Linked DNA regions of Sus scrofa. The protein of the gene in region 3 interacts with the protein of the main gene of each other region in a pairwise test. Links are inferred from orthologs where the notes say so. Each region holds a gene or a part of one and is shown on either strand. Other genes may lie near its edges.

Region 1 (5,175 bases), on a different chromosome or scaffold from region 3:
GGGAGAAGGAGAGAGGCGGGATGAGGGACGAGGGGTGGGAAGGAGGTGAACTCTGGGGAGATCGGGGGTGAGGCCCGGGGAGCGAGGAGGGGAGAGTCGGAAGAAGCAGGGGAGGGAGGGATGACAGGGACTGGACAGAGGGGACTGAGAAGGGAAATGGGGGCGGGGAGCAAACCTAACGCGATCTGGGGGGTCGGAGGGGAAGCCCCCACGCCCAGGCAGACGCGGCAGGTGTCAGCACCGCGGGCACAGCCCGCACCAAGGTAGGCAGGAAGGGGAGGGAGCCGAGCTTAGAAGGGGTGGGGTGGGGGGGTCTGGGGTGGGAGACGGCTCGCCCCAGGAGTTCACTTAAGCCTGGAGTGGGGTGGAGGCCAGGATCTTTGGGAGGTCAGCCCAGAATTTCAGGAGGTGGGGGTGGGAGGCAAGGGGGTGGTGTCCGGGCCGTACCTTCCCCGAAGCGCTGCTCACCCAGGCGGCTCGGGTTGGCAAACTCGTACTCAGTGGTGGCCGGGTGGGCATGTGGCACCGAGCGGCCCGACATGGCTGCAGATGCGGCGGCGGCTCAGGTCCGAGGTGCGGCCCCAACAGTCGCAGCGGGACCCCTCCAGCTGCCGCCGTAGGGCCAGGGTGCGTTCGGAGTGGGGGCGGGGTCTACACCACCCAAAATAGTGCCGAGCCTGGGGGGAGGGGCGAGGAGCGCCCGCGACGGCTGTGTGACCCGCGCCGCCTGGACCCCCGTCCCCTCCCTAGCACACTCTTCAGCTGTCACATCCCCGCCCCCTCCCTCCCCCCTCCCCCGGGACAGCTGGGGGTCCTGGCCGCGGAGCGAGCTGGGCAGGGGAGGCTGGTGCGGAGGTCCGGGAAAGGCCTCGCTGAGACCCTCGCGAAAAAGGGTGTACATTTCCACACCCTCCTTCTCCTCCTCACTTGCAGGCAGCAGGCACCCTACTCCATAAAACTCCCCTGGATTTAAGGTTCTGCCAGCCACGTAAAGCGAAAGATGCAAACAACTTTCTGCCCTTTCTTTGGGGGGTGCGGTGAGGGGCCTTTTGGTCTTGACATATCAGGGGCCTCTCTGAACCGGGGGCAACCCAGAGCACCACACGGAAACCTGCCATTGACATGCTGGTGATCACTGCTCTCCTCCAGGGCCCCACAAAGAGTTAATGTCCCTGGGGCCCAGCCTAGGAAGATTCCAGTTCCTGCCCAGGCCCAAGATAGTTGTTGGCCCCATTCCCTTGGCATGCTGGACTGGAGAGGAGGAGGGGCCCGCTGCCCGCCTGCTTGGGATTCCTGACTGGGTCCCAACTCCAGGGAAGGGGATGGGGGAAGGGTGCCATTGGGTGTGGACAGAAAGCTAGTGAAACAAGACCAGGACAAGCCACTGGCCAGCTCAGACGTGTCTGTATTTCTCTTTTCTTAGCTCAGTGAGTACTGGGTATGTGTCACACTGCCAAATCCCCGATCACAAGTCTCCATGAACGGGTGGTGAGCTGGGATAATAAAACCCCTGACATCACCATTCCAGAAGCTTCACAAGACTGCGTATATAAGGGGCTGGCTGGAGCTGCAGCTGAAGGAGCTGACCGGCCAGCTGACCCTCTACATCCACCCAGCCGCCATGGACATTGCCATCCACCACCCCTGGATCCGCCGCCCCTTCTTTCCTTTCCACTCTCCCAGCCGCCTCTTTGACCAGTTCTTTGGAGAACACCTGTTGGAGTCTGATCTCTTCCCAGCTTCTACTTCCCTGAGCCCCTTCTACTTTCGGCCGCCCTCGTTCCTGCGGGCACCCAGCTGGATTGACACTGGGCTCTCAGAGGTAAGTATCCCCTCTGCCCCGACAGGAGAGTGCATTCTGGAGCCTCCTGGAAGCGTCCCCATCCACTTTCCTCTTCCTCCCAGCCTAAATGTGGCTGTGTCTAAGGGTCTCAAGGGTTTTAGGCACTTGTGTGTCCTGCAGTGGAGAAAGATGGGGTTCCTAGTTCCTCCCCTCCCCCCCACGCAGGCACCTGTTTGGATTTGACGCCCCTGTGTATTCCACTTCTTATATTTTCCCCGTGTGCTACAAAGGTCATTCTCTATCCTCTTCTTCTAAGTAGGGTGTCCCTTTCCAGTTTGGTTCATAATGATCTACAGTGCAAGGGCTGCCTTCAGACTCCTGCTCACCTCTTCTAACACCTCACACTCCTCACAAATACTATCATTTCAAGTTTCAGAGCCAGGAGACAGTCCTACCTCATCCCTGCTGCGTGCAGCTGGAGACAGCAACCACTATTGTCTTCCACTCCCTCTTCTGTGATTTTCCAGGTTTCTCAAGGCTGTGACAGGGCACTGGCCTGGGTCCGAGGCTCACGAGGAAAGAATATAGGTCCAGTTTTCTGACCCCCCAACTTGTCCTAGGAGTGTGGGAAAATGAGGGGAACAGATAAGGTTGACAGAAGCTGTCACAGATAACACTCTGGTTTAAAATTTTTCAAGTGTAAATAAACAGGAGCTGAGTGGACAAGGGCTTTGGAAGGACAATCAGAGCCAGCAGAACATTCCAGATTGAGTGGGTGGGAAACTTGGCAGAGACCTGAGCAAGAAGAAGCAGCCTTTGTACCACAGACAAATGACAAGGCCAGGCATTGGGTCAGAGAAGCAGCAGAAGCCATGCCCAGACCCATCCTTGCGATTTATCCCCTGAGTGGCCTTTTTCCCTGTAAATAAAGTTTGGGCCTGATGACCAAGTGGTGTGCCCCCTGAACCAGAGAACCATGTTTATTCAAAAAAGGATTTTTAGCTTAAAAGGGGAGGACCAACTACCCGAGCAGAAAGCAAGTCTGCAGAATGATGAGGCTGTATTAGTGTAATCCCCATTCTTACCACTTTTTCTGCTACCCCTGCCCCACCTTGCTGTTTTTAGATGCGTCTGGAGAAGGACAGATTCTCTGTCAACCTGGATGTGAAGCACTTCTCCCCCGAGGAACTCAAGGTCAAGGTGTTGGGAGATGTGATTGAGGTGCACGGCAAACATGAAGAGCGCCAGGTATGTAGCTGGCTTTCTTTTCTGCTCATTCACCCAAGGTGTACATTGTACCAGATGCTGCCATGAGCCTCTGAAGCTGGCAACATTTCAGTCCTAAGCCATAGAGTCTAGAACAGGGATAGATCTGTTGTTATTGTTATTTTGGCTAGAGAAGTGATCTTTGTTTTGACTTGACTGCCTTAGATAGGATAGATGGAAGGTTAACTTCTCATTTAAGTCAGTGGCTCTCAACCTGGCCATGTTAGAATTACCAGCGGAACTAAAAAAAAAAAAAAAAAAAAAATCCCAATCCTCAGGCATATCCCAGGTCAGTTACATCAGACATTTTAGGGATGGACTCGGGCATCAGATTTTTTTTTTTTTTTTTTGGTCTTTTTAGGGCCTCACCTATAGCATGTGGACGTGCCCAGGTTAGGGGTCAAGGCTGAATTAGAGCTGCAGCCCCTGGCCCACGTCACAGCCACAGCAAGCCAGATCCAAGCCATGTCTGCGATTTACACCACAGCTCACCACAGTGCCGTATCCTTAACCCACTGAGTGAGGCCAGGGATAGAATCGCATGTTCATGCATACTAGTCGGGTGGTTACCGCTGAGCCACAATGGGAACTTCCAGGCATCAGATTTTAAAAGCTCCCTAGGGAATTCTAACATACCAACAGTCAAGGTTAAAGACCACTGATTTAGGAATAGTGATTGTCAGAGATCTGATTGCTTTATATAATTACCTTAACTGCTTACATCTGGAAGGCCCTGGCATTTGGGACTTTTAGATGTTCAGGAATTCATTTCTCTTTAGCTCATCTTAATGTGAACTACTTGGTTTGCCTAGATTTCAGAGCTATACTCAGCTCCTAATACATGAGACCTATGTGGAAATCAGTTAATTGAGAGCCTGTCTGGATAAATGCTTGAGATACAGCAGGGATTAGATTAACAGTTAACTAACCTGTAGCAGAATTATAAAGACTGGAATAGTTTCTCATTACTCTCTGGGAGAGTTTTTCAATGAGTTTGCTTCTTACCAATTAGTTATAACTCAGAAACTCGTACATCAAATAATATAGTTTGAGGTCCTCAGGCTCTTTCAGTTTTGCTTATATCATTTAACATAGCCTCCCCAAGATGGAGTTTTTTCATTATTATTTTTATTAGTCCTATTGGTCTGGAACGTTCTGGAACATTCCTGAAGAGTGAGGACAATTGCTGGGCTTCCGGGGACTCAAATCATCAAAGCCAGATGATAGTCTAAATCCTGTAAACCCAGCAAACATTGATCTAAACCTTTGAGGTATACCCCTGACCATAACTGCACTTCAGGGCTTGAAGAGCTAGGAAGTCCTGGCTGTTCAGACTTTTCAGACTCCCACTGGTAGGAGTGGTCACCTAGGCAATTTCATCCTAGCCCCAAACAGGAAAGCTATGTAGCCTTCTCTCCTGTTGCCACACATTTGGTCACACCCAGAGAGAAGCAGGATGTCTTGAGTTCCAGGCAAGCAACACTATTTCCTGTTCTTATCTACCTCTTTCCTTATGCTCTTGCATTAGGATGAACATGGTTTCATCTCCCGGGAGTTCCACAGGAAATACCGGATCCCAGCTGATGTGGACCCTCTCACCATTACTTCATCCCTGTCATCTGATGGGGTCCTCACTGTGAATGGACCAAGGAGACAGGCCTCTGGCCCCGAGCGCACCATTCCCATCACCCGTGAAGAGAAGCCTGCTGTCACTGCAGCCCCCAAGAAGTAGATGCCCTTCCTCTAACTGCATTTTTTAAAACAAGAAACCTTCCTCATCAGTGAATGAAAATCTTGTGACTAGTGCTGAAGCTTATTAATGCTAAGGGCAGGCCCAAATTATTAAGCTAATAAATATCATTCAGCAACAGATAACTGTCCTCTGTTTGAATCTTCTGTATTAATCATCACCATGTGATTTAGGGGGCTCCAGGGATATGAGGGTCAGAATAACTGTATCCAACACTTACTGATGGTATAAATTCAGCAAGTCACTTAAACTTTATGGTCTTCCATTTATAACATGGGGTACTGATTTGTACACTTGTTGTAAGGCATGGATTAAGGAGGAAAAGAAAGTAAAATGCCCTTAGCAGAGTTCAAGGAATATCAGTTCCTCTCACTCC
Region 2 (5,153 bases), on a different chromosome or scaffold from region 3:
GGTCAGCTCACCACACCCAGACTGAAGTCACTGGCCTCTGTTTGTGGCACAGAGACTCTTAAAGTACATACTTCTGAATCATCTTTCTTGACCCTCCACCAAACTGTAGCAGCATAGGCTTCTGGGTAATGAAAATGACATCACCACTAGTCAAGAGTGAAATTAAAATCATTGTACTTAAACATCTGCCAACAGTTTATGATGTAACAGTACACACAGTAGGGAATTTTAAATAAGATTCTGTCTACAATTAAAACCAAAAACAAGTGCTTTCAGATAGGTCTGCACTGTTCAATATGACTTCAGCCATTGAGATGTGTTATACGTGTAACATACACTTTAAATGTCAGACTTAGAACATACACACAAATGCACAAGTGTACACATATACAGGTATCTCAAGAATTTTCGTATCGATTAAAATGAAAATATTCTGCCTAAGTCAGGTTAAATAAAATATACCGTTAAAGTTAATTTACCAGTTTCTTTTTACTTCCGAGTGTGACTATTATAAAATTTAAAATGACATGTGTCCATTATTTTTCTAATGGACCACTCTGGTATAAATAATGAGGCTGGGGAGGTGCAGGAATTAGTTCTAAGAACTAATTGGAGACCTTAAGATCCTGGCATGACTCTGCAGTAGTGGAGTAGATAACTGGGTTATTTTTTTTTTAACCTTCCTGAGATTTCCCCCTTGCAGTGTATAACATGGACCTTAACCTTTGTTAAAATGATCTCTGAGAGTAAGCTGGTGGTGAAGGAATAATCTCCTGGGTAGATCTGGCATGGGCCCACAAAATAGAAATTTATTAGATTTGTCTGTTAGACTAAAAATTTGTTAGATCTGGTGTGGGTTTTTTTTTGGGGGGGGGAGAAGGGGAGAGAGGATCCCAGACACTGTGCCACCCTGGGAAGCTGATGGAAAGCTATGTATTCTGGAGTTATAGCTGGATTTGCAGCTTGTGGCTGAATGGTTGGGGGTGTTACCTTTTAATGACAGATGGCTTTGGGCATGAATAATGAAAAGTATACAGTTGCTGCTTAACTAGAAAACAAATCAAGGCCACCAAAAGGAAATCTGTCTTTTTTTTTATATATAACACTTTCTCATATACTTAGTCTAATAGGACACGTCAAAAGGAAATGAGATGATTTTTAACCATTATTATTTATTTTTCAAGCAAGACCTAGATAAATTTTCGTCAATGTAACTACAACCAAGACTGAATGTAATGTAATGACCTATGAAATAACAGAATTTATGGTTTTAATCATCTATAGGACATAGCCCTTCTTACAGGAAAAGAAAATGAACAACAGTTTGAGGCTTAGAATGAGTGAGTTGAACTTTGCCTGGTATTGGCTGGGAGCATTTGGAAATCTATTAAAAGCATTTCATTAACATCTTGGCATTTTGTTTCCTCAAAAGAAATACATTTTCCAAATTAAAATCAAAGCCCAAAGCCACCACTGTTTACACTTTAAGATGATGGCAGTTGATGGGTTGTAGGGGTTAAGCTTAGGGTGTCTGCAGACTGAGATCAGGGGCTACAACGGACTGAAAGAAACAAAACAAAACACATCAAACTGTTTGGGAAAGAGGGAAGGTCTTTGTGACTCTAACTACAGGATATTAAAATATCTAGCTGTAAGCTCTGTCGGTTTGTTTTTCTTGAGTCACCCATCAGCTAGGAAAACTGACCCACAGGAGGGTCCGAGTTTAAGACAATTATTTTATGAGGAATTTACCAAGTTTACCCCAAAGAGGAAGAGTTAGAGAAGAGGCACTGGCCAAGTTTGCTTTTGGACACAAAGAGGAAACTGTGTGTCAGGATTTCAGCGGGGGTTGTCAGGCAGTTTGATATTTGCAGAACCCCTGTGGGCCAGGCCTCTCCAAAGTTTAAGGGCTGGAGTCTCCAGGGAGCTCTCAAGCTGACTGGCGATCAGGGCTTGCTTTGTGCCCTGGCACAGGCTGAAACGATGCTCCTGCGGCAGATGCGTTCTGACAGCGCAGAATAATGGCCCTCAGCCTTAAACTGTAAATTACAAACAATCCCTTTTTAAGTACAAAATGAATGCGCAGAATGGAAGACCCTGTCAGCTAGAATGCGGAGTAAATCAAGAAGAAGAAGACAAATTGTTCACTCATACCAGTACAGCCAGATTTTTGTTCTGCTAACCGGACTGTCATGGGAGAGCGTTTCTTCTTTGTCAGATAAAAAGAGAAATTAATGCTCCGTTGTAATTCTAATAAATATGCCAGGCATCTGAAGCATCTCCTCCGAAAGCCAATCAAGAGGCAAGGTGAGGTTTCCCGACCCCTCCCCCCTGCCTCGGGTTTGAAAGTTGTAGCCGAAATACCAATAGTAGGAACACGTGACCCCCGTCACTCCCAGCGCGAGCTTTTTCTGCAGTCAATTTCATAATTACTTCGCTCCGCCTCTCTGCTCAGCACTTCCTTCCCCCTCCCTCTCGTCGCTCCCCCACCCCCAGCAATGAATCACCGTGCATTTAAAGAGCCTTCGATGACCCAGTGTGAACTTTACTGGCATCTTGTACATTCTTATGCCAAAAAAGGGGAGTCTCTCTGTGACAGGAACCTAGCCAGAACCCCGCAGCAGATCTCAGAGGCAGCAAGCTTGGGTGCTTATCTGGGAAGATCGGTGAGGGTTAATTTTCCTAGATCCTGGTGATGATTCAGAATTGCCTATCTCGGTTCACGATCAGGTTTTAAAAACCCAGTTCAGCTCTTTGTGCAGCAAGGAATATATCAGAGAAAAAAATGTTGGCAGATCTCCTTATGCAATCAGGGCAGAGGAATTTATACCACATCAGCCTTTTGATTTCTCCAGCTCTGGCTGAGGGTGGGGTTTCCATATTTGTGCTTTGGCAAATGTGCCCAAGAATGAAGTCTTCCTTAGAGATGCTGCTCTCCTGTCTCTTTAGGTTACTGTGTGCTTCTGTGTGCATTTATTAAAACCAGCAACATGTTTGCCCCTTCCTGTATTTAATCCTGTTTCTGAGTAATACAGATCAAGCAGACGGTCTGCGCCTTGCCTTGAGAGGTTGTTCACCCTATTTCAGGCAGTAAAGGGTGGATCACTGAAGTGACACTGGGCCTTTGGCATATACTTTCTCTCTATCTGGGAAGTCCTCCTTTACATGGCGATTTTATCCTCATCCTCCGAGATCCAGCTCAGGCACCAACCCTTCCGTGGAGTCTTTCCTGATTATCACAAGAATTTGCGGCTCTGCCCAATGTGTGAGTCAGAGAAGTGCTATTTTCTTATTCTTTTTATTTATACAGTATTTTTTTTAACTCTGAGAGGGAAAAAAAAAAAAAATCAAGGCCATAAGCACAGATGGAGAGCGTATCCCAAGTGAAAGCTTCTCTTATCTAATATTTCCTGTTACTCCCAAATCCATTTGACCTCCACTTAGAATTTCACATGTAACTGTTTTCCTTTTATTGCTCCATTTATGTGTTTTCCCCCACAGGTGGGCTCTCAGGGTAAGTTCCTGTTGCCCTCTGTTGTGGGTGGAGTTGTGCTCCCCTGAAAGATATGTTGAAGTCCTTGCACCCTAGGAAAGTGAGTGACTTTATCTGGAATTAAGATGTAATTAGTTAAGATGTCTTACCAGATGAGGGTGGTCCCTAAATCCCACCTGACCGCTATTCTCCTAAGACCGGGGGACACAGGGAAGGGGAAGAAGGCCCTGCGAAGACAGGCCGAGATGGAAGTGATTTAGCCACAAGCCAAGGAAAGCCAAGACTGGCCAGCAATCACCAGGAGCTGGAAGAGGCAAGGAAGAATTCTTCCTTAGCGCTTCAGAGGGAGCAAGGCCCTGCAAGGCCCGATGCCTTGATTTGGGGCCTCTCTCCTCCCAAACTGTAAGAGTACATTTCTCTTGTTTTAAGCCACCCTGTTTGTGGTCACTTGTCATAGCAGCCCCATACACCCTCTTTATTCCATCTGTTGCATTCTTCCTTCTTCTCTTTATTTACATCTAGGGCCTTATCTCTTTCCTCTATGGATACACACAGGTGATCACTTCTGGATGCATATGTGTTTGGTCCTTTACCCATGACAACGGCCATAAACAAAAGTTTCAGTAGAATAGGAAAATTGTCAAGAGAGTTCTAGAACCACTTCCCCATCCTCCCAGAAACACCTGGCTTCTAGCCAGAAGCACAGAGGTTGCTAGAGGCTGGAGAGAAGGCAGTGTCCAGCCCTGGGCCTCAGCTCAGAGGTCTTCCGGAGGCCTTCTCAGCTCCCTCTATTGGTGCCAGGATGCACCAGCAGCTCTGCTCTTCAGAAGTGGCATTTCAGCCTGTGGAGTTGGGGTGGGGGTGAGGAAAAGACTAAAAAAACTAAATGAACTGTTTGGCACAGAGGAGGAAATACAACCCCCGAACTGATGCTTTTTTTAAACTGTGCATTTGAGTCTTACAAAAGTACTTGTGAAAACCTCAGTCTTTCCGAGCCTCATCTTTCAAAGCACAGCCGGGAGCTCATTTGTTTCAAGAGGTTTTCCCCAGCAGGTAGAAGGAAGCCTTACACTCAAGCCCACACTCCCAAGGCAGCTGTTCTCTCCGAGTCACTGTGAGATGTATAATACAGCTCTTGCACACACATCTCAGTAAATGGCAGCTCCATCCTTCCAAATGCTCAGGCCCTAAAGCATCTTGACTCCTCTTTTTCACATCCCCCACCCACATCCACTCTGCCTCCAAAGCCAACTGGCTCTACCTTCCACATGTATCCAGAATTTGACCATTTCTCACTTACTTGGGCTGCTACTCCTGGAAAACTGAACTGCCACCATCCTTCATCAGAACTATTGCACTGGCCTCCTGCATTGTCTCTGCCTCCGGCAGGACCAGCTCACACCATGACTGAGCATCTGCATCAGGTGATGCCACAACTCTGCTCAAAAGCATCTGATGTTGCGCTTCCACTTGGAGTCAAAGTCAAAATCTTCCCATGGCCTCCAAGGCCCCACCCAATCTCTTTGTCTTTCAGATCCAGTGTCCCCTCTCTTTTCTTGTCACTCCACAGCTCCAGCCCCACTGTCCCCTTTGCTGTTCCGCAAAAAAAGCCAGGCGCTCTCTTTCCTCGGGGTCATTCTACTCACTGGTCCCTCTGCTT
Region 3 (5,470 bases):
CGCCCCGGGACACGGACAGGTTTGGCCCCGCCCAACTCGCCGCGCCATGCCCACTGGCCCCAAGCCCCACCTTAGGTTCTAAACTCAGTCATTCATCAATTTCTAAGGCCCCGCCCCGAAGTCCTCCGTCCCGCCCACTGCATAAAGAGTCAGGTCTCCAACCCCACCGAGGGGTGGCTCCAGGCTCACCTCGCTGAACGCCCCGCGTCCGATCACCTTCAGAATCTCGAAGTCATCCCTCTGCAGTCGGGCTTCCTTAAGCCTCGCCGCAATGGGATCCACTGGGGGGGCAGCAGGAGATGAGAACCGAGAATAATAGGGACTGACCCTGGAGGCAGGAGCCAGCCCCACCCTCTGTCCCCAGTCTCCCCTCGCCGCCCCTCCCCTTTGGACTGTATGCCTCCTAAGGTCTCCACATAAACGTTACACGAGGTCTGCGGAACCCAGAACTGCCCGCAAACAGAGAGAGGTGGGATGCCTGGGAACCCCTTTCTGGGGTTCTTGGGGGCGTAGGATGGAAGGGTGAGATAATAAGTCCACCAAAGGGAGGCCCTGAAGGACAGAGAAGAAATGAGGCCTAGTTTCCTGGGTTTCAAGCCCCTACTGCTGGTGACCCGGCCCACCCCCCAGGTCTCTCACTCGGTCTGTCCTGGACTGTGGCCCAGAGCATGCAGTTTAATCCAGCACCTCCAAGCTCAGATGCAGGTGGCTCTTGGGCCACACTTTGGGAAACCCTGAGTGAGACCGGGGCTGGGAGAAGGTATGGGAGTCCCGGCTCCAGGGCTGCAGGAGTGGTCAAGTGTTACCTCCGCGCTTTAGACCGCAGGGGGAGGCTTTCCTATCACCCCTACCTACAGCAGGGGAACCAAAGCCCAGACAGCGAAGTCCTCTGCCAAGGTCCTAGGCTAGCGATGTTACAGAGGGTGGTCTGGGAGGGGGAAGCAGGGTGGAGGCAGGAGATGGGCTGGGGGAGAGGGAGGCCTGGACTCCTGTGGGTGGGAGAAGCAGGGAGCTGCAGAGGAAGGAGGGAGGGAGCAAAGGGTACAAGCAGGGCCGAGGGAAGAGACAGTGGGTTACGGAGAGGGTTGGGGGTTCGAGGAGAGTGGGCCAGCAGGGCGGCAGCAGCCAGGGCCCGGGATGGGGGAGGGAGGAGAGCGCCAAGACATTGAGCCCTTTTAAGGCAGCGGGAACCCAGGCCCCCTCCCCCGCCCAGGCGGCCTGGCAGGGGAGGGGCCGCAGGACGCTGCTCGGGCCACAAAAGGAGTGCTCCTTACAGGAGAGCTAGACTCTAGCCCCCACCTCAGGTCTCGGGTTGTCCTGCCAGTCCAACTCCATCCTCTGCAGAAGGGGGGCTGAGAGAGTTACTAAGGGCTGGGGGTGTGTGGGGAGAAGGTTCTGCCAGAGGCCTAGTAGTCTCGCCCTTGGCCTCCACCTTCCCATCTGCAAAATGGGAAGAGGAAGAGGAGCAGGGCCTTGGGCAGAAAGAGATGGACCCAAGAAAAGAGGGAGCGGGCCAAGGTGGAGAAACGAGACAGGGACACAGTGCCTAAGGACCAAGAGCAAGCCACTGAGGGACAGGCTAGTGGAGGGAGAGAAACCCGGGCGAGCCTGAGTCCTGGCCCAGGAGGGGGTGGGGGGAGACAAGGTAGGAGACTGAGGCTGCAGCAACTTCCCTGTGGACCTATCTCCAGGAGGAGACTTGGCCAGAAGGGACTCTTGGGTGGAGGGGGCAGCATGGAAGCTACAGAGAAGGTGGGCCCACCCACAAGAACCCTAAATTGTTCCTCCTCCAACCAGGGGGTAGAGGAGGTGCTGGGTGGTGCCTGTCTGTAGAGCTGGTTCCCCGCCCCCCACCCCAGGGCCTGCCTGAGTCACCGCACCCTCCCAGGGCCTGGGCACCTGTTGGAACAGCTGGAGAAGCTGGCGCCGAACACCTGCCGGCCGGCCACACCCCTGGCAGCTGCCCCGCGCTGTCCCCTCTGCTTGCCCCTACGCTCAGGGAAACCAGGGTGGAGGGCTATAGAGCCTATTTTGGTGGTGGGGGGGAGTCCTAGGAAACAGGGTTCCCCATCTGTCCCTAGGCCTCGGCTCAAGGAGGGGGTGCTGGGGGACCAGGAGAGACTGTGCCCAGTCCAGCCTACCATGGCTCCCAACTCATGGTTCTGAGTCATGGCTGCCTGCCCTCTGGTGACCCCACTCTGCCCGGCCAGGGTGGCACTGGGGAGAAATGTGCCACCCCAAGACCCAGGCCCAGATGCTGGGCCCCTCAGTGGGAGGCTTTCCCCATGCCCATCCTGCATCCAAAATCAGTCCCTGCACCCAGACCCGCCTTCTCCCTCTGCCCTGCCTCCTGCCCTCAACGTGGGGTTCCCACAAAGGTAAGCACTCACCCCACTGCAAGAAGTCGGCCACATACTTCTCCTGGGCCAGGTCGGAGGCGCCCAACTCCTGGTGGACACCCAGGAGAAGGTCAAGCAGGGGCTCCAGCCCCAGGAAGCCGGGGTCCAGCACCAGCTGCTGAAGCCGCCTCAGCCGCACCTCGGCTGACATGACGGGCAGGCAGCACCATGGCCCCCTCCCCGGGCGGGGGGCTCAAGGTCCTCCTGTCATGGGGCCTGGAAGGCCCCGTCCAGACCCTGGGGCCCTGGCCGCATGTCTGCCTGTCCCTGGCTGTCCCCTGGGCCTCTCTGGCCACTTCTCTCTGCTGGCTGCTAAGGCCTCCTCCCCTTCTCCCCACCCCTTGGTCCAGCCCCCTCTAGCCTCCCAGCCTTAACCCCTCACAAGCCAGGCCCCCCCAACTCCCTCCTTCCAGGCCCCTCGGAATGCTTCAGTGTCAGATGGGGGGGGGGGTTAGAGAATCTCAACCCTCAAACTCCCCTCCGCCAGAAAAGGCGGAGCCCAGTGGAATACCATACAGATGCCAAGGATGAGCCCTCCCATTTCCCAGAGGGGACCAATTGAGGCTCAGAGTGATCTGGTGACACCCCTCCCAAGCTCTGGAGTTGGGAGGGAAGAAAAAGGGTTGAGGCCTGGGGAAGGGAGGCAGGAGGCCAGGGCAGCTTTGCGGGTGACTCAGCCAGGGATTCAGACTTTGGGACGGTTTAAATTTAGCCCTCAGGCCCTCTGCTTTACGCTGACTTTTTTTTGGCAGGAGGTGGGGAAGGGGTGGTGAGAGAATCGGGAAGGGAGGCCCTCAGGAGCCAGGACCAGGGGTGATCAACTGGACAAAGCCTGGGGGAGGCAAAGGAGCCCCCAAAATAGCTCCTTGGACTCTGGCCGCACAGCCACATTCCTGCCCAGGCTAGGATTAGAAACAGAAACATTTCGGGGGGTGGAGGGCGGAGCGGGGAGACACCAGTCCCTGAGGCTCCGGAGAGCCAGCCAGGAGGGATTTTCATTGTCCCTTCCAGAGTGGACAGTTTTCCCGAAGGGAACCATGGTCTCTGGCTGGCCCTGGAGACCTGGGCTTGGCCAAGGCTGGTGCCTGCCGCGCTCACTCTGGGCACCACGGGAGCTGTCTGAAGGACCCTGTCTGGGTAGGCCCCCGTGCTATCTCATTCGCACACTTGGCACCAACTTTTAAAGCTAAGGACGACTTTGAAGGGAGGACGGGGGGCAGGGACGCCTGTCTCTATCCAAAGGGCCTTGTCTGGGGGTGGCCAGGGACAAATGGACCAGCCGAGTGCCTGGTGCGTGTCCCTCCTCTGGCCTTCAGTGTTTCCTGCCATCAAAAGGGGGTGGGGGGAGGAGGGGCCGGGCCTAGGCTCTTCCTCTGGATACAGTGGGTTGATTCTAGAACTGCTGCGAAAGCACACACACACTTCCTCCGCGCCTCTGCAGAAGGGAACAGAGACGCTGTGAAAACAGGGAACTTTAGTATAAATAAGAGGTTCTGGGGGAGGGGGTGCCCCCAAGGGGCTTCCATAATTTAACACTCTTCAAAAGCACAAACAACAGCAGGGGCGGGGACCAGGGGAGGAGTAGGCCACCCCCTGCCCTGCCCACAGACCGAGGGGCACACTGCAGAGCTGGGGCTCTCGTGGATGGGGAGCTTCTCTCCCAGGAGTGACCAGTCACATGCTGGGGACAGGGATGAGGCTAACACTGATGTTTCAGAGGAAGGGGTCATTGTACTTGGCAGTGGGTGGGGACAAGGCTGAGGCCACATGGGTCACTACATTCCCCCCAGTGTCTGGGCCAGGCTGAGGGACCCTTTGCCCCCCATATTTGTGCAGAGTGGGGGACTGGAGCAGTCCATCCGTCATGGTTAGTCTTGTTAACACGTTGATCCATGAGGTCAGCGGGGAGGGTTACAGCTAGGAGGCTGGGGGCGTGGGGTAAGCGCCTCCCCGACATCCACGGCTTCACACCACTGTGCCGCTGGGGGAGTTGCCTGGTTGGGAAGAGATGCCCTGGGGGAGATGAGAGGGGAGACGGGGAGTTAGAGACCACATGGGCCGGGCTCTCGACAGTCCCCAGGGGAGGGAGCTGCCACCCTGGCCTTGCTCTTCAGTCTGCCCTGGAACCCCCCAGACAGAAGCCGCTGCTCTAGGCCTGGGAACTTACATCTCAGTGCCAGCAGGCGGCACTTTTATACAATAATTAAAGCCTTTGGGTGATCCTGAGCAGAGAGGATGGGGGAGAGGGGAGGCAGGGAGGAGAGGGGGGAACGGAGGTCCTTTTCTGACTGGGGGGGGCGCTGAGATTCTGGGGGGGGAGAACTTAGGGACAGTCCTACCTCTACCACTGACTTGCTGGGTGACCTGGGCCAACTTCCTTCCCCTGTCTGGGCCTCCGTCTCCTCGTCTGTGAACTAGGGAGACAGAGGGGTCACTTTCAGGATTTACCACATTCCCCAAATGCCAAAGGCCCTGCCTTGGAGATTGTGCTTTAAGTTCTAGGGATTCAGGAGCCTATAATCCCGAAACTACTCTTCCAGGGAACCAAGGCACAGCCCTCGGATCTGGCATCCTGGGCCCCTGAGCCCAAACCCTGAGGAGATATCTGAGACCACAGTTCCAAAGTCAAAAGGCGTGAGGTCCATACCTTACCTAATGGGACCTTTTTGAACCCCACAGCCACCCCAGAAAATGGGCACATCCGCCCACTACCCATCTTCAAGTTTCCCAAAGAAGTGACAAAGGTCATAAAGAGGTGGCGACGTGCTCAAGGCCACAGAGGGAGCAGAAGTACCAGTCTGGGCCCTGAGGCTGAATTCCACAGCTCATGCCTCCAGCAGTGGACTCGGATCCCAAGAGGCTGAGACTCGGTCTGGAAGCCAGACCCACAGGTGCAATCCTGCCCACAGAGCTTGACCCACAGTATTAAAAAAAAAAAATGTCACCATTCCGCTAAGAGCCAGCCAGGCTGGGCCCACAGGAAGCCCTGCCAGTAGCTGGCCATGGTCTCCACCACTCCCAGGAGTCCCTTACACTGGATCCACTCTCTGCTGACCATGGCTTGCCAAGCA

What was found.
Region 1: the proteins of DMPK (region 3) and HSPB2 interact in a two-hybrid assay, tested with the Homo sapiens proteins (2 studies listed by BioGRID). The link is inferred for Sus scrofa from reciprocal best matches to the Homo sapiens genes DMPK and HSPB2.
Region 2: the proteins of DMPK (region 3) and ATXN1 interact in binary tests that used the Homo sapiens proteins (3 or more experiments, as listed by UniProt). The link is inferred for Sus scrofa from reciprocal best matches to the Homo sapiens genes DMPK and ATXN1.

Annotation. Positions count from the first base shown.
Region 1 is NC_010451.4:39,638,251-39,643,425, reverse strand, and holds the start of HSPB2 (heat shock protein beta-2), read right to left. Parts: upstream 3,310-5,175; 5' UTR 3,032-3,309; coding exon of another isoform or gene 2,909-3,031; 5' UTR 2,400-2,908; coding exon of another isoform or gene 2,353-2,399; 5' UTR 2,239-2,352; exon of another isoform or gene 1,823-2,238; coding exon of another isoform or gene 1,622-1,822; exon of another isoform or gene 1,424-1,621; intron 678-1,423; 5' UTR 542-677; coding exon 448-541; intron 264-447; exon of another isoform or gene 1-263. Other genes in the region: CRYAB (alpha-crystallin B chain), read left to right, coding at 1,622-1,822, 2,909-3,031, 4,578-4,781. UniProt on the Homo sapiens protein: May regulate the kinase DMPK.
Region 2 is NC_010449.5:12,727,525-12,732,677, forward strand, and holds the start of ATXN1 (ataxin-1), read right to left. Parts: upstream 3,327-5,153; 5' UTR 1-3,326. UniProt on the Homo sapiens protein: Chromatin-binding factor that repress Notch signaling in the absence of Notch intracellular domain by acting as a CBF1 corepressor. Binds to the HEY promoter and might assist, along with NCOR2, RBPJ-mediated repression. Binds RNA in vitro.
Region 3 is NC_010448.4:52,107,371-52,112,840, forward strand, and holds the start of DMPK (myotonin-protein kinase), read right to left. Parts: upstream 3,453-5,470; 5' UTR 2,551-3,452; coding exon 2,391-2,550; intron 282-2,390; coding exon 190-281; intron 1-189. UniProt on the Homo sapiens protein: Non-receptor serine/threonine protein kinase which is necessary for the maintenance of skeletal muscle structure and function.